Linked DNA regions of Struthio camelus. The protein of the gene in region 1 interacts with the protein of each later gene in a pairwise test. Links are inferred from orthologs where the notes say so. Each region holds a gene or a part of one and is shown on either strand. Other genes may lie near its edges.

Region 1 (6,858 bases):
TTTTTAACGTGTTTTGTTCTCGTGCCGAGTTCTGCTTAGCTTAACTGCTTGTGAATTTTCTATTAAAACCCCTGCTAACTATCGTGCCGCAGCTGCGCTGCCAGCAGGAAAGTGCCTATGGTTTTTCAGGGGTGCGTGAACGCGAGCGACGGCTGCAAAGACCAAGAAAGCGGTGCGGGATTTACGTGGATTGTGAAAGAAAGCCGGGAAAACGGGGAAAAATGAGCAGAAACACGGAAACTGAGCTAGGTAAATATGGGGTACCGATCCAGCGTACCCATGAGCTAAGCCGCCCTCGGTGCTGGGGGGCTTTGTCTTGCTCACTGGCTAGAGCCAGCACAGCCTAATTGATAAACTAAGCTGGGTCAGCGTGTCTCCCAAATGCTCCTCAGAAACGATGCTTAATGCAAGCCAGTTGTGTCCCTGGGTGCCTTCCCTGGCAAGCTGAGCTAGCGTGGAGAAGAGGGGGCACGAGAGGCCTGGGGCCGTGGGCTTCTCCTCCGCTTGGTCCTCCCCGAGGCCGCTCGTCCCGGCCTCGTTGCTGCAGGTGCTGAGCTGCTTCCTGCGCAGCCTCTCGTGGGCCCCGTCAGGGAGCTCTGAGGTCTCCTTCCTCATCAAGAACGAGGCCTGAAGGTCTTCTCGTGTCTCGCTGGCTGCGTTGGTCCAGCCGGCTGGATTTTCTCTGGATTTTTGGCTTTTATTGAGCGGCTGGGGGCTCTCTAGAGAGCAACTGCGCCGCGTTTTCAACAGAGCGGGGGGAAAAAAGGAAGGTCTCGTGCTCGTTTCGGAAGCTGCAGCGGGGTAGATGCTAACGTACCTCCTCCAGGCTTGCGGGCGCGCTGAGGTTGGTCCGCGTTCCCCCAGCCTTCCCCTCTCCTGCCGCCGCAGCCCTTCCTCGTGGGCGCCCGTCCTCGTCCCACGTCAGGAGCCGCGTCCTGCCGCCCGCTGTAGCGGGGCCGCCCGGGTCTTGGCGAAACGTCCGTGTCCTGCTGCGGGGACGCGGAGAGCCGAAGCCTGAGCAGATGCTTCCTCGGAAGGAGTCCGCGTTCCCCAGCGAGAGCTTCCCTGCTCCTCCTGCTGCTCCATCCTGCAGTTTTCCCTGTGTGCAGATGTTGTGACAGGGGTTGGGGGGGGGGGAAATCGTGCTTTTCTTTTTTTTGTGCTAATATTTATACTCTCCCAACCTCCTCTTCCCTTCCTTCCGGAGATGTATTTAGGAAGCACCTCAGGAAGGGGTCAGGGAGCTGAGGTCTGGGGCAGCGATGAGCACGGACAAGCCAACCCCGTGTCCTCGAGGGTTTGGTGAGCAAGACTGGAAAATAGCGGCGGGGAGGGGGAAGATGATCTCTGCTCCGGAGATCAGCTCTGCTGCCCTCAGCGTGACCGCGGAGATGCCTTCTTGCTTGCAGACCTGTCACCTGGGCAGGGGTGATTTAGGGGAAAGTGAGGTTTATCCAAGCTATGCACCTTGCTGGGAGCTGCATCCCGCCGTCGGGGGAATCGCGTGACTTTGCATCTGCCCCCGCTTCCCCTCTGAGCATCTCTTCTCCCACGGTGCCGCTTTCATTGTCGCGGAGGCCCTGCGCACCCTCCTCGCTGGCCTGCCTCTCGCGGCCGAAGCGGCGCCTGTTTTAGCCAAGGGCGCTGTGAACGCATCAATCGGAAACGAGCACGTGCGCGAGGAGCTGGAGGGGGAAACCCATAAATTAATATTGCTAAGATGCAGAAAACCCAAGCAAACGAGCCAAAGCTGAGATGAAGGCTGTGCCAGGGTCAGAACAAATCCCCGCGCTCCGCAGCGGACCGCGGTTAAAGCCGCTGCTTGCTCTGTGCCTCGGTTTCCCCACCTGCAGAACGGGGCTTGTGCATAAACTCTCCAGCGTCTCCAGGAAGGGCTGCGATGTGTTTGCCTGGGCCTTAGCCCAGGGCCTCGCATTGGGCAGCTACCTGAATTTTTCCTTTCTGGATGGGAAGAAATGCATTTATTTTCATTTATTTTCAGTCTCTCTATTTTTTTCCTCTCTCTCCAAAACCACACGCACCTCCTATGCTCGTTCTCCCCGCCTTCTCCTGCTTGCTCCTCAGCAAGGAGACTAGCAAGCTCTTCAGCATGGTTGCCCTTTGCGCGATGTTTATCCCCGGGGCGGCCAGCACCCCGTGGCTGGGTGGCAATCCCGTAATCGGCACGCGTTGGTTGGGCGCCTCACCCTGCGCTCACCTCGCCGCCTGCCAGCCCCGTCCCAGCGTCTCCGTCTCCGCTGGAGTGAGACGGCCGGCGGGGAGACAAAGGAGAGGGCTTAGGACGAACAAGCCCCTCATTAAAGAGTTTGGAGCCAAAGACACATGTCGGAGGGGATTTGCAGCAAGGGTTTTGAAAAGCCCTGGGGGGCGAGGAAGGGGGTAGGTGCTAGGCGGGCGAAGCGGCTTTAACCCCTTGCGGTGGGAAGGACGGGCAGCGGGTTTGCTCCGAACGGTTTGAAACCCGCTGCGGTGTTGACCGGGTGTTAACCCCTTGGGAGATGGGAGCGGTTTAATAAAACCCGCTCCCTGGCTTTGGAGGGCACGCGAGCGGAGGTGAGGCGCGTGGCAAGCCCGACCTGTCCGAGTGGCTTGTGGCAAGTCAGCTGCAGTGATTTGAGCTCTGGGCTGGGCGGATGATGCCGCGCGGAGCCCGGTGGGCGCAGTGCGGGGCACGGGGAGCGTGGCGTGGGGGGCTTCGGCGCCTGCTGGCTCTTCCCCTGCGCGGTTGGGGTCGTGCCCAGAAGTGCCGCGGCTCTGTGCTGTGGCCGGAGGGTCGCTCAGGGCTCTCCTTGCTGCGTTTTGTAGCCTGTCGGAGGGCTGCTCACAAATTCTGGCCCGCTACCGTGCGGTTGGCACTGTAGGTTTGGTGATTTTCACGCTCAGCAGCAGTTTCCCCGCGCCCCAGGGACCTGCTCTGCCTCTTTGGTGGCCTGCAGACGAGAACCGTGGCTGCGGCCCAGCCGCTGGCCGGATGTCGGAGCGGGAAGAGCGAGCAGTGCCAGCGAACCGCGGGGTCTGCAGCCAGCCCGACGCCTGCGGGGTGAGGAGCAGCTCTTCGCTCGGCCCCGGCTTGGTGCGGGCAGGCACGTTTATCCTGTTGGGTTTAGGAGCCACCTTGGGAGGCTCAACCAGCTGCGGGAGACGTGAGCTTGGAGTCCTGCGCCTGCGCGGGTGCTGGCTGAGCCTCTGGCCGGCCTTGCTGGGAAGCCGTCCTCCCCCAGGTTATTGTCCCCGCTTTCGGCGCGGCGGGGGGAGGCTGACGGAAAATCCTTGCGCCTCCTCGACTTGCAAATGAAGGCAGCTTCGGTCAGGTTTTCATTAGCACCTCATCTGGCTGCGCTGCTGGCGGATGCCGGGGAGCATCCCCGCGTCCAGCCGGGGTGCTGGGGGCCGTCGGGGCCGGAGCTGCTGGCCAGGGCTGCGGCGGCAGAGCCCGGCGTCCCTCTGTGCTCCGGGGAGGTCTCGGGGGGAGCGGGCCGTAGCCCGGTGTGAGCACCTGTGCGGCAGAGGTGAGCCGGGTGGCACGGGCTCCTGGGGGTTTCTCACCCGGGGGTGTTTTGTGTCTGGTGCAAACGGGCTGGGAAAAATCCCCTCTTGCAATGAGGATTTGTAACAGCTCCAAGGCCCCTCTGGTTTGGGAATTTGTTTGTTCCCTTCCTCCCGCCCCAGCTGCCGTGTGAGTGAGGAGGGGCGAGCGGAGGGGCTGGCTCGCCCCAGCGTGGTGCTGACAGCAGCGTCCGGAAGAGCCCAGCCTGCTGCTCCTCGTCGCGGCTCCATCTGCCAGCGGAGGCGCCCGCCTTCGAGATGCGGCCGCCATAGGGCTGAGCTGAGGACGCCCGCGCTCGTGTCGCTTGTGGCCGGCGCCAGCCCGCTGGCTGCTAGCGGCGCCCCGGCGGCCGCTGAGCCTGTTGCGTTTGATGCCGTCGGTGCGCGCCGCCCTGGCAGGGGGCACGGTGCAGGCGTGGGTGCGGGGCTAAACCGGAGCAGCTGGGAGGAGAAACGTGCTGGCTCGCGCGGGCTGTGACTAACTCGGGCACGGTCCTGTCCCCCCCCGCTTCCATGGATGAAAAACAGCAGCTTGCAGCTCTGCTGTGTCTTATCACATCAGCTGGTGCGAATTAATGAGCGGGAGCTGGGGGGAGCCGTGCATCTCCTCCGTTTGCCCGGCGTTAGGCTGCGATCCCAATTCCTGCAGAGTCCTTAAATTGCAAAAATGCCCGGTGCAGCTAGAAGGGGGGGCAGAGGGGTCCGGGTGGACCGGCAGGAGCGGGAAGGGCCCGAATCGCCAGCAAATCCGCTCTCCGTGGGGCCTGGCCGGAGAAGCCCGGAGCAGCCGGCCGTGCCGCCGGCCCCGACGTCTCTTCCGCTCGCTCCCAGCAGGTCCCGGAGTCCCCCGCCGGGGAGCAGGAGGTGGCCCGCGTGCCGGAGGCTGGCCAGCGGCACGTGGCCCGCGAGGGGATGGAGGCCGTCACCGTCACCCTGCACGGCGCCAGCAACCTGCCGGCCACTCGGGAGGGCCGGGCGCCGCGGCCCTACGTCATCGTGTGAGTACCCGCTCGCGGAGGGACGGGAGATGGGAGCGTCTCGGGCTGGGATAGGACCTCGGTGCGGGCAGAGGAGCCGAGACCCCTCGCCAATGGGATGCGAGGTCTAAAACAGCACCGGGGAGCCCAGAGGACGGGACGCTTTGCATTACCGGAGCGCTGGGAAGAAAGAATTGGTAATATTGAAAGTATAAAGTGATGTCAAAGGATCCACAGGGTAACGCTGCCTGGGTCTGGAGATGATCTCATAATAAATAAAAGAGCGTTTTAATAAATAAAACAGGATGCTGGGGTAAGGAGAAGTTGGCTCCTCGTGCATTATGCATGTGCCAGGGGACTCAATTAGCCGGCCGTGCTTTGGTCTGTGCTAAGAGGGAGGACGCTCTTTGCTAGCGCTGGTGCCTAGGTGGGATCCCACAGCCCTGCCAGGGGGCAGAGCAAATTCGGCACCGCCTGGCGAGGAGGGGGCGCGTAGCTCTCGACGCCTGGCTCTGCGCAGCTGGTTTTGCCACCGCGTTGCCGAATGCGTCCCCCTCCCTCGGGCTGCTCGGAGCTGCGCAGCCAGGAGCCAGGCAGGCGCACGGGTGGCTGGCGAGAGGCAAGCGGGCCAGAGCCCCGGCCCATCGCCTGGGGAAGGACCAAGGTGATGTCAGCTGGCCTGATGCCTCCTCAAAACCCATCTGCAGCACTCTGCGAGCGTGCAAAGCAAACTGTTGCTTGCTGGGCATCTTCCATGCTAGAAACCCCAACCTGTGGGGCAGGCGGCTGGATGCCGGTTTTTAGTGCGGTTGCTCGCAGTTCAACGTGGCTGTCTGGATCGGGGAAAGCGGCAGATGCTGCTTGCCGAGCGACGGGCTTTCCTCAGCTGTTGCTGACTGGCATCTGCAGGCCGCCAGGAGCTGGCTGGCGCGTGGGATGGAGGGTTTGGCGGGCCCACGCGTCTGCCTTGGCTCTCGTGGGAGAGGGGATGCCGTCGCTTACGGGGACGAGGCGTGCGGTGGGCTCGCAGCTGCCAAACCACTGGTGGTCTCAGCCCATCGAGCAAAGGCTTGTCCCTTTGCGCCTTGGAGAGCGGGTCTAGCCTCCCCTTGCTGAGGTCCTCCTCTGCTCCAGCCTGGACCTGAGGGATCCCCAACGGGGACGCGCGCTGCTCCGGAGATGTGGGAATGACCAGGAGAGCTGCAGTGGGCTGGTGGGACACGTGCCTGGCTGGGAGTATCTATGCACCGCATGTCCATCCACTTGGATGGAAAACTCTGCTCCGCTGCCCATCTCCAGCATGGCCCTGCCAACGGCACCCGTTGCCCGCGGAGGCGGTAGCTGAGCTCATGCCCTTCCGATGCCCCTTCGCCGCTTTTCTGCCCGCCGAAGCACGAACCGAGGGCCTGCTCTCGCCCCCGACAGCCCACATAGCTCCACCACAGGAGTTGTCTCCATTTCCATAAAGCAATTATACCCGGCTAATCTCAGGAGATTTAAACATCAATATCCTAAACGATAGCACGAGGGTGGCGTGTGATTGTTGCGTCTTTCTCTGCATCCTGATGCCTCTCCATCAGCGGGTTGCCACGGGAACGGGAGATCGCGGGCGGGAGCGATGGAGAGGAGGGGACGGGGCCCTCCAGCCCCACTGGCATTAAGGATGCAGGACACATGATGGGCCTTTTAGTAACCATAGTGAGGGCGTCAAGGCAGAAGGGAATCGCTTATTATTTTGCGGGGCGCTGGCTTTTTAAGGAGAGTAGCATGTTGCAGTTCAAAGGTGGGCCTCTGAGCAGCGAACATGATGGCTCTGAAGGAGAAGAGAGTGGTGGATGTGCTGGTGGGGCCCTGGGGTTAACCTTTCCCAGTGAAGCAGCCCGGGACCATCCCAGCCACGGGCCAAGAGAGCTGAGCCAGCCCGAACGCAAGCTGGATGGGTAGTGCTAGCCTTCAAGAGTAGCTGTTGCTGATCTGCAGATGGGTCAAATGCTGATCCTCTGTGCTAGCTGTCTGTTGTCCCATGCTCCTTGCAGAAAGGTGCATCATGGCCTCTCGCCAGGCCTTTGGCTGCCTGCCCAAAGTTGCTGCTGACCTCGGTCTCCACCACATAGTTGGCAGGGGCCTCTCTTTTTGGTGGGACAGTCGTGCATGGGCATTTGTGCCCAAGGACATTGGAAATGTCACAAAATCCATTGTGGGAGGAGTGTAAAACCACTCCATTGTCCCCTATGGGAAACCTCCACAGGGTCTGCCGTGCAGCAGGGTGGAGGCATCTTTGCTGCAAGCAGAGCTAGAAACGCAGCTAGACCTG
Region 2 (6,833 bases), on another chromosome or scaffold:
CTGGCGGAAACATTCATTTTTGCCCACAAAACTAAAACAGAATATGTCATATCCATGACAACATTAAACTGCAGACATCTCTCCCTCTGTTGAATGTTTATAATGGTAGGCTGTACAATCACATGTGCCATGGACTTTGGAATAACCACCCCACTTCTCCACTCCTTTCCTGGTTCTCCTGCTGACACGTAGAGGTTCTTTAGGTCTTTTACAAAGACAACAGCAGCAGGAAATTCTGTGCCTCTTTCTCACACACTAGTTTGTCTAGCTTCAGCTTCCAGTACTCTTTTGTCATCATATACTGGTAACACATAGCTCTTAGACAACATACAGACTGGCCCTGCAGTCATCTCCCCAAGTCCTCTTACTAGGCTGAGTTTCCTGCAAATGCACTATAGAGCATACACCCACAGGTAAGTTCTACTCTCTGAGAAAACAGCAGCCCAACACAGATTTTTCATCCACTCAAACAGTTCAGCTTGACTGAAGCTTAGTCTGTCTGTCTGTTCCCTACCTGTTCCCAAGAAAGCAAGCAGGTAGGGCAGGGCAGTATATACTGTTCTAATAACTGCAGCGCGTTCCCACAGCTGTATTTTCTCACCAAGAGCTAACCTGTAAGATAGCTGTGCAGCCCACACAAACTAAACCAAAAATAGAGAGTAATGCGTGTGCAGAAAGCTCCAGTGAACTACACACTGGGCATACACAGCACAATCAGAGGCATTTGCAGAGTCTGACCACCACTGTTCATGAAAACAAACTGTGGCCTGCCAAACACTGTGCTAAAACAAAGAGTTTTCTAACCAGATTTAACCTCTCTCATTATTTTTATGTGAGGACAACACTTAGTCTTCACTTTACCTAAGCTAAACTGATGACGTTCCTAATATTTTTTACTACATTTCAGCAACCCATGCTGGAATATTGTATTCAGGTCTAGTATTGAGAATATATGAAGAACGCTGATAAACTGGAGAGGATTCAGAAGAGAACCAAGAGGGTCTATAACAGAATTTACTGCCTCTTTGCTTTAAAGACAGAAACTTTCTCATTTTCCAAACTTACTACTTCTCTATGCTAGTGGATTATAGGGGAAAAACCAAAAACAAAACAACCCTCATATCTGTCAGTATTCCTTATGTATCAACCTCAATGAGAGGAGATAAAAATCAAGAGATTTTGGGCCACCATGACCCACCAAAGTTTCCTACTTTTTGTACCAAGAACGGATATTTAAAAGGTAAAAACTCTTATGAAGAGGTATCAATCAAAATTGTACATTTGGAGCAGAAATGAAATGCGGCTTTTCATGGCAGTATGCTTCTCAAGGAGCAACACCATAAAATAAGAAGCTGGGGGATTTTATTAGTCTTAATCTGTGGAATAACCTGAATCCTATCCTCATGAACTGCAGCTTGCTTTTGAAACATCATTTACCTTTCAAACCACAGCTTTATACTCCGCATAAATGTTCTGTGAGGGTATATTTGGTTCTCTCTCAAATACAAGAGGATACCAAACAGCTCTTTTTGTAACTCAGCATCTTTCATACCCCTGCTGAAGTCAAAAAAGGCCTGCAGGACATCCAGGGTTGGCACCAAATCCTTAGCCAGCATCTCATGGTAAAGTTCACATGCCAGGTTCATTTCTTGGTGACGGCTGGCCGCTTTGATACAGGATTCATAGTTTGTTCTTGAGGGAGTCATAACTTTTCTTACTTCTTCCAGAAGAGTCAAGGCCATTCTCCATTGATCTGAATTACTCAGCCCCCTGATAAGAAGGTTGTAAGCCCCACTTTCTAATATCTTAAATCTGATTTTCATTATATCATACACATCACAAATCTCTGCCGTCTTCCCTTGCTGGACACATAACGCCAGGTACTTGACCAACAAATTATACCTAATGTCACCATCAGTCTTCGCCACATAAGTCAGCAAGGACTTGGCCACATCTATGGGGCTGTTGCACCTGACCATACTGTTAAACATCACATCTTCAAATATTTCAGGTGATCGAAAGTTTTCCCTCAGCCTACTCCATTCTTCGGCCTGCAAAGGCTTTTCTGGAGGCTGGACCTCGACAAATTTATGCCTTGACAGAACATGACTCACTAATCGTTTCTTCGGAGCTCCAGAGGAATAAAAGTGAAGTTTTCCTTCAGATATTTTTTTACTCTCCTCATCCCATGCTGTTTCTCCTTCATACTGAATCTCAGACCTTTTCTTAGTAGGAAAAGCCTCAGTTCCTTTGGAATCCACTGGCAATGCAGTGCTGGAAGATGTCATAAAACTGAAATAGCTAACCTTTTCCCTGTTGGCGATATTGAAAGAGACAGCAAACAGCTGCTGGCATCTTGAAAGAGGCCACAATACACGACATTTCCCTAGCAAAGCCTGCATACCCTGTTGGCTAGTTTGAGGAAAGCGTGCCATTATAAGAAGAAACTATGTCACTACTAGCTCACTATATCTAAAGAAAAAGGAAAAACACAATTCACATAGGAAGGCTTATTATAAAAGTCTTAAGGCTATCAAGCTGTATACATTACACTCTTTCTTCAAAACGCTTATCCTGTGATTCTTTCAACCCTGTTAGGAAAACAAAAAATGGTAAAATCTTTTTTCACAAAAATGGATGTCTTAAACTAGGAGAACATGCTTCCGAAATTAGGGCATCTTTCTTCCTAGACAAGTTGCTTTGCAGGTTTGCAGCTTATTGCTTCTGTTTGTCGGATGCTGTTAAGTAATACAGCTGCTGTACAGAAATGGGCAACACTGATGCAGCTATCCAAGAAATATAGGGCTTTTTTCCTGTCTTCATCCAAGTCAAGTCAGATTTCCTAAAAATAAACAAAATAAAGAATACCACTACAAAGAATAACATCATAACATGCTTCACGCTTAGTATAAGTCTTTGCTGCGACATTTACAGCTACACGCTAGCCAACGCAAAAGCCATGTTTATCGAGACAATTTTAGGTTAGGAATCCAAGTGCTGGTAACAGACTCCCAACACGGGAATCCTGCATTAGTTCCCTCACGCCTTTTAACCCATGACAAACTTCAGCTCAGCTGGTGCCCCCCGTTACACACTGTGGGTAACATCGCTGCCACGGCGGGAGGGCAGCACCGCCTGCGGTAGCCGCAAGCGCACGCCCCAGGCGGACGCTGCCTCGGGAAGGCTCAGGACGGTGCGCGGCCACGGCGGCAGCGCCCGACGCCGCCCCCGCTCGAGCCAGGCCCCGGGCACAGCGAACACGGAGGCCCCCGCTCGGCGCCGGCACCCACCGGGGGGCCCGCGCCAGCACAGGGCGAGGGCGAGGGCACGGGCGCGGGCAGGCTCCCCTTCCCCTAGGAACTAAAGCTCCCGGCGTGCAGCGCGCCCGCCGCCGGGCCGCGCGTTGCATGCTGGGAGACGCAGCTCCTCCTGCTTCCTCTTCCCTCCCCCCCACCCCGGGCCCCGCATCAAGGCAAAAAGCGCTGTCCCCGACTGGGCTGCGCCGTCACCTCTCCGCGGACGGACCCACCTCGAACAGTGCGCGGCAGCCATGGGTACCTCGGCACTACAACATCCCAGCAGGGTGGGGCTTAAGGTGGCGGCAGCCATGCGACTGACAGGGCACTAACCGCCACCCAGACCGGAACTGCTTCCCGAGCACGGGTGCGTTGGACTTTGAGCCAATCAGAGATTAATGGGTGGGGCGTGTTGGGCCACACGTGATCCCACATACCCAATCAGAGAAGGGCACAGCACGCTACCCGGTAGCGGGTTGTACTGCCATATCAGTTATGGGCACAATGCTTCGGGAGGGGGTGGGGGTTACGCGGGCACAGTCATGCAATGCGCATGCGCCGAGGACTGGCAGGCTGGGTCACAGGTCTTGCCCTCTTGCGGGGTCGTGCCGGTCACGTGGCCCCGGCGCGAGTAGCCCGGATGTGCGGGGCCGGCGGCCGCGGCGGACATGGACTGGAAGCGGAGCCTGAGGGGTCGCCTGGCCGCCCGCAGCGCCCGTGAGTGTCGCGGGCCCGGGCAGCAGGGAGCCGGGCCGGCCCGGGCGGGGGCAGCGCCTGGCGCCGCGGCAGGCACGGGCCCCGGCCCAGTCTCTCCTTCACGGCGCGGAGCTCCGCCCCTCCCTGCCCGTCGCTCCTCGCCGCGCCTTAACGGCCGCCGCGGGGCGTTGGAGCCGCCAGCGGCCGCTGGGGGGCGGCGGCGGGGCGGGGAGAGGAGGGGGCGCTCCCGCCGGCGTCCGCCGCCCGCGGGCTCCGTCCCCCTGGCGGCAAGCCCGCGATGCGCTGTCGACCAGCCGCGCGGGGGGCTTTGGCGTCGCCTGGGAGCGTGCTTAAAGGCGAGGGGCTTGTCGGCGAGCCCCGCTCGGCGCCCCCCGCGGGGGTGCCCTGGGAGCTGCGCGCCGCCGCCCCGCACGGCGGGACAGGCGCGGGCGAGTCCTTCGCTGATGCAAGCCTTAAGCCTTGGCCGGTCGTTTTAGTTCAGCGAGCGTCGAATGTCGCGTTGATGAGAAGACAAAGCAGCTTTGACTCACTTTGTAGAGAAACAAATATGAGCCTCTGTTCTAGAGGTTAGCGTTAACAAGGCTCCAGGCTGAGGAGCACGGCAGAGCTTGTGTAGCCGTGTAGAAATGGGTCTTGCGAAGGCTGGTTTATCTCTAGTACATACCTGTTATGTCTTTGGCTGGTAACTCTTGATTCTTAAATGAATGCACGAAGAACTCTCCTAAGATTAAGAGCATGGTCATATGCCTGCAAGACTGAAAGGTGATATGCTGTTACTGCTTGTAGTAAGCAGTCTTAAAAATGATTAAAAAAAAAAAAAGCACCTTTGAAAAGCAAGACTGTTGCTGCTTTGTCAGTCATAACCACCTTTGTGTCCTTACCACATAACCATATCGTATCAGGTATGTGCAGTTACTAGAAAATGTACTTTGCCGATATTTGAGTAGAACAGATGTATAACATGTTCAGTGTACATGTTTAATTTATGTGATAGGCATGTGCTTCATTTACTTTCATCTGAGTTCCTCATAATAACTGTGTTATTAAACAGCATGGTTGTAGAAAACTCAAGGTCAATTCCTTTTTTCAAGCTCTTAGTTACATTGAAATGCTGTATATTTGGAGTACAGTATGAAAATTCTCTTTTGTATTAATCAGCCAAAAAGAGTGAGCAAGAGCTGAAGGATGAAGAAATGGAATTGTTCACAAAATACTACATGGAATGGAAAGGAGGAAGAAAAAGTGGCAATACATCATATACGAACATACCACGGTTTTACTACAGGGTAAGTGAGGTATCCGGTTAATACTTAAACCAGAGACTACTCTGCGTTATAAAGGGAAATTATGCATATTCAAAGGGGTCTTTCAGCCCCAGTATCTTAAGTAGATCCAGATCTGGAAAAATGTGGGTTATTAAGCCTACAGTGTGGGTTGCTAAACCACAGTCTGCAGTTGTGGATTTCAGCAATTTAAAATAATTAATTGCTAAGCATCCTATAAAAGGCCATGAAATAGCTTGCTAATGCTACTATTAACAGGAAGTAGGCTTGGCTGTTGAATAAAATGATAAAGTCCTCGTTCAGAGAAATTTGCTTCTTGTTTTACCTAATTTTTGATATACCAGTGTTATAAAATACACATCCTCCTATTCCTGCTTAGGCACAGTGGTATTCATGAAGAGAGTATGTTGTTGATCTGGCAGACTAAAGACAGAGCTGCTGCTTGCATCATCCAGCAGAAATGGAACAAGAGCACAAGTCTGACATTTTGGTATTGTTACCATTTGTCAACACAACTGCTCAACTACTGTGTAACCTCTGTGTAAGGATATTCCTTAGGAACGTGAAATTCTCAAATGCCTTTGTTTCAGTTGCTGAATATGCATGCAACCATTCAAATTCTGGTAGTGCTGTGCAGCTTCTCGTGTAAACATCAGCAGAACTTTCATAGTAGGCATCCTCCCATCCATCCTGCTTGCCAACTCTCATTGTTCTCGTCTGGTAGACGATCTTGTCTAGTAGGTGGTCTCATCTTTGAGATTCAGGGCTACCATGAAATAGAAGGCACTCCTCTCTCTTCTGACTAATAGCACAGTACTAAAGTCTTCTATGTGGGAGCCCTCCTGTCGGGCAGCTGTGGAAAAGAGCTTACTAGGTGGGTTATCAGGTGTGCGGTAGGTCTTTTTCAGTTTCTCATGTCAAAGATGTCCTGCTTTAAATATCTCTTTCAATATTAAAATAATCTGAGACAGCATGCAAGTGATATTTCTCTATCCAGAAGAAGCAGATACCACACAGCATTCTGGTAGATATTTCAATATTTTCTGTGGAGTGGAACAGCATCAGAAGATTTGAGTCAGGTCTAATTAAGAATACTTGCTAGCTCTCTAGTTTTTGAATACTACTTCTGTACAGAAAACTCAAATGCCACAATGTTTCTAGCTGCCAGCTGAAGATGAAGTCTTGCTTCAGAAATTAAGAGAAGAATCTAGAGCAGTCTTTCTGCAAAGAAAAAGTAGAGAACTGTTGGATAATGAAGAGCTTCAGGTAAGGAAATATTTTCTGTATGTTTTGAATGGCTTTTGACAGAATTCCTCTGTCTACAGAGTTTTATCCTCTTCTGTCCGTCCGCAGAATCTTCTGGTGCAGTTTGTAAGGTGCTTTGTACCTGGGCGAGTTGGCTTGTTGTGAAGTACTGGCCAAAGCCTAAGTGCTGCGTAGTCTTAAGCTGGTAACCAAAGTGTAAGACTTGGATGTTATGGTGTACATGAGATCTAAATCAATGGCTTCTAGTCTTCCAGTGTATTCCAACAATTTC
Region 3 (7,476 bases), on another chromosome or scaffold:
CCTGAATCATCTGCTAAGCCAGATCTCTGTTCTGTTTTTCAAAGACTAGAAAGACTCACTAATTTATAGTGTAATGCAGAAGGAACTGCAGTGGCATCTGCCCCCTTTTCTTTTGGAATTGCACAGAACGGAAGAGACTCAAAATGTCACATGAAAAGAACTGAATCAAATATTTTTTTCCTAGCAGATTGCCCTGATAACTACAATTTTCTCTTCTCTCTCTACCCTACAGTGAAGTTCTGCCACTGTGCAGAAAGAAATATAAGGAAGAGATTAGAAACATCCCATAAGTGTCCTTAATCATTAGGACATTCATATGGGGCAGTGGAACTGTCACCTCTCTTCCTTCACTTCTCTTTAGGCTAGAGAACCAGACTCATACTCTTTCTTCCATGCGCACTCTATCCTCCTGGCTGAGGCAGGAAAGATGATAGACAAGTAGACAGAACTCCATGAGTAGAAAAAGAGATTGAAATTTGAATCCAGGTGTGGCTTCATCAGGGAAATCGATGCTTTTGCTTCCTCTTATCCTTCAGCACACGTATGATCTGACATGGGTTCATCCACGCAGCTCTTCGTGATGTCTTTATCCCCCTTCAAGGCTGCAGCTATCACTTTTCCGCACTGTGTTCTCAGTTACTAAAGACTAAGATCATTATGTGAGGGAGGTGGGAGGAGGTTTTACTGCCTGCATTTGCTTCTGCAAGGATGGAGGTCTCAGCAGCTGGTGGTTGCAATTAGGTACTGCTCAGCTCTGGTATGAGGTAAACTGGTTAGCCTTGTAAATTCTAGACATATAGCATTAGGGATATTGAAAATTTTAAATTAAAAATGTAAGTTGCCTTTGAAGGTTAGGCATCTCCTAATCAGCCACAGTGTGGAATCACAGATTCGAACTCAGGCATTTAAATTTTCTTTACATCCTCCTTTAAGTTAAGTTATATTTTAGATCTGGTCCTACACAACTAACAGCAAGAGAACTCTCTGCAGAACAGGCATTAATTTCATGTCCTCAGTGTTAGTTCCATTACTTTTTGATAAGAGAGTGGTTTATTTTTTTGGCTTCTTTGAAGATTTCTCCTGATACTTTTATGTCTGACAGCCTTTGTGACCACTGCTATTAAATGCTGCTTAATGAAAGGCTTGAAATTTGGGGAAATTTAACCCAAGAATATTTTCACTATTATCCTTACCTTGAAACTGGTATCACAGACTCATAAATACAAGAGAGTAAATAAAACGTAACTTCTTTTTTCAACAGACCATACAGAAGAGCTAATGTGAAGAAATGATAACAGAGAAATGCTAAGTAAAAGCAAGGACATAACACCTCATTCATTAGAATCTCTGAAATGCCGAGAATTTATTGCAGAGAAGACTTCTTTTCACCATAATTACGTGAAAGACCAGAATAAAACTGAGTTAAATGAGGCAAATATATAAATAAGAGAGTCTAGAGTTTGTGGTAGCTTTACTTACTGTCTTAATTATATATTTTCTTTAGAATGTTTCTTTTTTCCCTCCCTTGGACAGATGGAGTAAATTAATCCTAAATGCAGCATAAAATCTATTCCAGATCCTCTCATATGCCAGTGCTTAAACATAACTAACTAGGATAATAAAAGTCAGAGACAGAAAAGATGTATTAGCTGACCACCTAAAATTTTACATGCAGAAATGTATCATTTTAACTAAATCTATTTCTAAATATTTAAGAAGGTTTGGTTACATCTTAAATCACATCAACAGTGGCTAAACTCAATTTATTTGACTTTGAGATTACACTTAAAAGTGAGTGGGAATGACCTGCTTTTAAATAGAGTTGTACTGATTAAATAAATTTGTGTGTGTAGACTAAGAATCAGAGAGACAGCAGGGTCTGTGCAGTGCTGGTACTACAGAATACTGAATATGTCCTTTGGGACGTTCAGTGTCCTCCATAGTCATTACAGTCGTTAGAGAGGAAATCTTTAGCTGTTTCAGAACAGGAGCCCGAACTGGGAAGCGAGATATACTGAATTCTTGTCTCAATTTTGCCATGGTGTTGCCTTGGGCAAATCACTTAATACACAATGTCTGAAAACATGTTAAGGCCTTTTACCTGAATGTGGTGATTCCAATACTAAGAAGTTGAGGACCAGATTCTGCCACAGTTATTCTCACAGCCTGGCACAGCGCCTTGGTCCCAACCCTAAAAAAAATTACACACATTTAATTTTGCACATATAAGGAAATTGCTTTAGATGGTATAGTCTACCAGTCAGGAAGGATGGAAGAGTTTGTTTTTGTATTTTTGGAACTATTATACATATGCCAGTATAGAACTGATGTGTATCAAGAACCTTTTATAGCATTTTGCCCAAACTAGCATTTAGTAACTTGCTAGAGGAAAGAGGGAAGAGGGACTCCAGTTAAGGGGGCTTCTTCCATACCTAGCGCATTATTTTTATTGGGATATTATTTATGTTAAGCCCTCCACATAAACTGAAAAATCATCTATATTGTTTTTAAAATGACATGTGTGCAAATCAAGGCAGATAGTCAAAACATTTTAAACACTAAGGTCCCCATACACCACTAGGATTTTTTTCCAGTACTTGATGAATAGATACAGGAACTAGAAAGTTTCTTCTAAATATCACTGGGGATACATAGTGGACTGATCTGTGATACCCACAGGTCCCAGGGCTGCACATGAGTTCAGTGTCCCTTCCGTGGTGGGACAACAGGAATTCACTGCTTTATCGACTTAGCAGTTTCGTTATGAGCATTTCCGGCGTTGATGCATGTTCATTGCTCCTACAGTGTGCTAAAAAGACCTTTGGTGTTGTTTCCAAGTCACTCTTTCTGTTTGATTTTACAATGTTCCTAGCTACATATAGATTATTTTAGAGAGCCAATGCCATACACCACTAGAGACATCAGTGGCACGAAGTACACACAGCTTGAGCCTGCTAAACGATGTTAGTTGTTACTATTAAATTGTGTTAGCGCATGCCTACACATGGCTCACTCTACTACTGACAGTATTCAAATGAAGGACATCGATGTCAGACTATGTAGACAACTAAACTAGCTCAGCAATTCTTTTGACAATGTAAGATTGTCTTGTACAGTGCATTTCTACAGTCTGGTCCAGTCTGGTATTTTATGTTTCAAATACTGAGATTTTCATCATTTTCCTTCTTCCCTGTGAGGTACAAATAAAAAAAGGTGGAACAAAATACTTATTTTTTAATTTTTTTTTGCTTGTGATCTGGAAGTGGCTGTCTCCTGCAGCTGACAGAAATTAGGCAGTCATTGGTGATTTTTTGAGAGAAAATTCCAGTTCCTCAAAGGTGAAATTTTCCATACAACATTAATGGAAAAGGTTTCCTAGTTTCCAAGGTGGAGTCATCATCTTCTTTTTTTTTTTTTTTAAGTCGTCCCATAACATCTCAATTGCAGGGAGCACAGGAGTACTGACTTTTAGCTTTATGCTTGACCCTGATTCAGGAGACGCATGATTTGTTTCAGGTTGGAGACAAATCAGTTCTGCCCCCTTCCCTTATGATCTGTTCGGGCCTGAACAACCAAACAGACTAACAAATGACTGACGTTTTGGCTGAGTGCGATCTAGGTTCACATCCCTGTGTTGGTGAATATTTACACCAAATGTGAGTGACTGAGAAAAGGAGAAGTGTTCAAATACAAAACAAGGCTGGTGGGCAGGAGATGTGCAGAATACAGGAGCCCATTTCCTGCTTATAGTTCAACCTCTTTGAATGCAACTGCCCCACTAGTGGTAAGTCTTGCTACATCAGTATTTCTCCCCTGGAAGCCTCAGAGCAAAGTGGTTTTTCCTTCATTATTACAGAAATTCTCACAGGGCTAGGAAACCATTCCCTGTCCGTTTTTGCACATCATTTCAAAATAATGATATTTAATATAACGAGTGCGTGCCAGGTGACACTCAGGGGGCAAGAGAAAGCTCAGCACAGCCTAAGACTTCAAAGAGAAGACAGGGATAGCACCTACCCCAAAAATGAAAAGAAGATGGATAGCAAAGAGACAGGTGCCTTTAACTTCCAACAGATACAGGCACCACACCTCTTAGCCCTTCTCTCTACTGGAAGAATAGCAGCGATATAAGGAGGCTGCGGCAGTGCTTGCTAACGCAGGCATGATGATGCATGAGGAGTTTCTAACACGTGAGGGCTGGAATAGGACGATCCCTCAGCACGTGCGAGCGCAACAAGGGTGCCCCGAGGTATTTTGCCGGCGAGATTGGGGTATTTTGGGGTGGGGGGAGCACCGAGCCCCATGATGCAGGCGCTCCCTCCCCCTCCCCCCCCGCCTCAGTGCTCCGCGCGGCCGTTAACGGCTGAAGAGGGGGGGCGCGCGCGCGGCCGTTAACGGCTGGGGGAGGGGGCGCGCGCGCCGCCGCCCTGCCCCGCCCCGCCCCGCCCCGCCCCGCCCCTCCCCTCAGCGGGGCGTGCGCGCGGCGGAGCGGTTCTCTCCGCCGCCGCCCGCACACGGCGCAGCGGGACGAGCAGCTCCGGCGGCCATGGAGCTCTGACGCCTCCACCATGGACAAGAAGCCCGGCGGCGAGGATGAGTGCGTGGACTCGGGAGCCGAGACGGGCGGGTGAGTGAGTCGCGGGGTGACCGGCGGCCGCACCCCCCCCCCTTCCACCTCCCCGCGGTGGCGGAGCGGCTCCTGCCCCGCGGCCGCAGCTGCTCCCGCCCGCCCGGCCGCCCGCCCGCTGCACTTGTTGTCGGCGCCCTCCGCCGAGCGCGCCCCGCGGCGGCCCCGGGGAGCGGGTGTTTCCTCGCAGGCTTTGTGTCCCGGCATGCGGCAGCCAGCAGTGGGATTTTTCCCTCCCTGCCTGCCGGGCAGCACCCCTCGCGTGTAGTTTTCTGGCTAACTGTCATGTTTTAACCCACCCGCGCTTGCTGTGGGTAGGTGAGAGGCCGCGGGCCAGCGTGGGGTTGGGGGGCGCCGAGGTGGCTGCGGCGGAGCCCTCCCGGCCGCTGCGGTCCCCTGGGGAGCAGGGAGCACTCCTACCTCGGAGGATTGCCGTGTTTTAAAGGCCCCGGTGGTCCGCCCTCTCCTGTGGTCGAGTTAGGGAAGAGCTCCCCATCGTCCTCGTCTTACACGTGGGGACCAAGATGCGAAGGTGTCACGGTGCTGTGTTTCAAGTGTGAGCCCCAAACCAACTCCTGCGACTTCACCGGTGGGGCCTGGTGCTGTGCTTCATGGGCCATCAGCAGGTGCCAGAGTGTGGTGCTCAGGGTTTGGTTCTGCCCCATCCCTCTGTGTCCCCTGATAATCCGTGTTAAGGATGGCTGGGAAGGTGCCTGTCCTAGCCTGTCACCATCTCCCATCAGCCCTTGTGGCAGAAACCTTGCCAGCATCAGGCAGACAGGCTGAGTCCTTGGAGGGACCATCGGAGCGCCACAGAGGCAGGTTAGGTTGGTAGCACCCCGGAACTGGGTTGCTGCTCTCGTGATTCTCACCATACTGACCTGTGAAGTGCCATAAGCTCTTTTGGTAGTTGTCCAACCTGTAAGTGTATAAGAGGCATGGAGAGTGACAGTTCAACCTGTGTCATACAAGAGTCAAGGAGAGTTTTATCTGGCTCTGTGCCCCAGCTGCCAGAGGTACAGTGTGTTTGAAAGTTAGATGACTTGCCCTAATATCATGGGGCTGCAAGGATGAGTCATGGGATCCCCAGTTCTGACTGCTGCAGATCCCAACTCCAACCTGTCTCTGTGGTGGAGAGAGGGAGGCTCTTTCCGGCCCATTTTACATGCTGTTGCCGTGTTGTCTTGTCAGGAACGGTGGTGAGCCCTTGCTCATTCTTTGGATCCAGAGGGACAAAATGAGGTTGCCTGTTCGCTTTGCTCTGTTCTCTCCTAGGTCTTCATTTTCCTCCATCCTAGCTTTCTCAGCCGTGTTCCTCCTGGCTCCTCGCCTGGTCTTTCTCCCTTGGTCTTGAGTCTGACCGCCTCATGGGTGTGAGGGTGTAACACACAAACGGGGTTGGACAGCGTTCCTGTTTTTTCTTTGACCCTGTCTGCCTTGCTGCTGTAAAAGCACATGCTGAGATTCAGAGAAAAGGGAGCACCCTAATCTCAAACTGATGCAAGTAAATAAAAGTGCTTACTGTTTGTGTCAGGGCACTGTGCTTAAGTATGAGACTGAGAGCATAAAGGAACTGTAAAGCTAATTCTTGATTGTGAAGTGGTGGCACTGTACCCAAATTAAAGTAGCAATATTATAATCTTTTTTTAAAAGTTTTGGATGAAAATGGAATATTGCAATCTTTTTTCGTACATCCAACTATTCATTTAAATCAAAATTTTTGGTTTTGAACTCCTCTGTCATCAGAGAAGTTGTGGACTCTTTTCCTTTCACTATAAATTGTTGCAGTATTGCAGTATGGTGAAAGTTTTAAAATATTTTATGTGGCATCAGCATAAAGGAAAAAATGCAGGCCACCTTCCTAGTCCTTGGGACAACAGTTTTTTAGTTCATCTTTGGGGAATGTGGATAAGATTAAGACAGCATAATTGGTGAATTCATGGCTAGTTGAAAGCTCAAGAAATCCCTGATGGGTCAAGTCACTCTTAATTTGTTGAGCTTATCCAGAATAGAAAAACCTGCATTTTGTTGGGAGGGGCACTTGGAAGGATTTGACCCAGATGATAACATTAGCCTTTAGACCTTAGTGATCAGCAGGACAGCTGCTCATGTCTGGCGCTGATGAGGTGTTAAAGCTGATGATTTTATGAAGCATCTTTGTTGCAGGCTTGACACTGGAAGGCAGAGTTTAACAGTAGAGGCTGTTGGAGGAATTTTAATCGTGGCATATGGTAATTAATAAGTGCAGTTCCTTTCCCTGAATTTTATTTTGGGGGGGAAAAAAACAGACCTCTGCATTTCAGTTTTATTTTTTGTTCTATTTAGCAGCTATTTTTAGTTCATCTAGTTCATTTAGTCTGATAAACATGACACGTATGTCCCTTTCACAATGTTTATATTTCAGTTTTCTCACCAAGCCAACTGTTCACAGTGCTTGCCTTTTCTTCTTAGTGAAGATCTGCCTTTTACTTTATCTAAGTCCTATAATAGCTATTGCCAAATTGAACTGTCCTTGTTCTCCAATTACTCAAATATTAAAAAAAAAAAAAAAGGTTTTTAAGTTCAGCCATCATCCTATGAATGTCCTATGTATTAGGAGAGACAACTGTCAAAGTAATTCAGTAACAGTTTCACATCAAGTGGTCTCTTTCTGTCACTCAAAGAACAGTATTGTATAGTGACTGTAGAGTAAATCCAGGCGCTGCAAGCCATTGTCACCTTGATGATGGTATACGAGGATGTGTGAGCTCTTATGGAATCTGTAGTGCTGAAACCATTTATAGCAACTAATAAATCTAATACATTAAATGTTCTAGATGGCATATGTTTCTTCACGTTTTGCTATGGCT

What was found.
Region 2: the proteins of CCDC33 (region 1) and PPP2R3C interact in a two-hybrid assay, tested with the Homo sapiens proteins (2 studies listed by BioGRID and IntAct). The two-hybrid records come from large-scale screens. The link is inferred for Struthio camelus from reciprocal best matches to the Homo sapiens genes CCDC33 and PPP2R3C.
Region 3: the proteins of CCDC33 (region 1) and FAM124A interact in a two-hybrid assay, tested with the Homo sapiens proteins (2 studies listed by BioGRID and IntAct). The two-hybrid records come from large-scale screens. The link is inferred for Struthio camelus from reciprocal best matches to the Homo sapiens genes CCDC33 and FAM124A.

What each region holds. Positions count from the first base shown.
Region 1 is NC_090953.1:23,678,159-23,685,016, reverse strand, and holds the start of CCDC33 (coiled-coil domain-containing protein 33), read left to right. Parts: upstream 1-3,840; 5' UTR 3,841-4,234; coding exon 4,235-4,565; intron 4,566-6,858.
Region 2 is NC_090946.1:55,310,402-55,317,234, reverse strand, and holds the start of PPP2R3C (serine/threonine-protein phosphatase 2A regulatory subunit B'' subunit gamma), read left to right. Parts: upstream 1-3,817; 5' UTR 3,818-3,964; coding exon 3,965-4,013; intron 4,014-4,224; exon of another isoform or gene 4,225-4,915; intron 4,916-5,171; coding exon 5,172-5,299; intron 5,300-6,457; coding exon 6,458-6,562; intron 6,563-6,833. Other genes in the region: PRORP (mitochondrial ribonuclease P catalytic subunit), read right to left, coding at 1,438-2,435. UniProt on the Homo sapiens protein: May regulate MCM3AP phosphorylation through phosphatase recruitment. May act as a negative regulator of ABCB1 expression and function through the dephosphorylation of ABCB1 by TFPI2/PPP2R3C complex.
Region 3 is NC_090942.1:193,536,778-193,544,253, forward strand, and holds the start of FAM124A (protein FAM124A), read left to right. Parts: upstream 1-4,460; 5' UTR 4,461-4,568; coding exon 4,569-4,627; intron 4,628-6,846; exon of another isoform or gene 6,847-6,858; intron 6,859-7,476.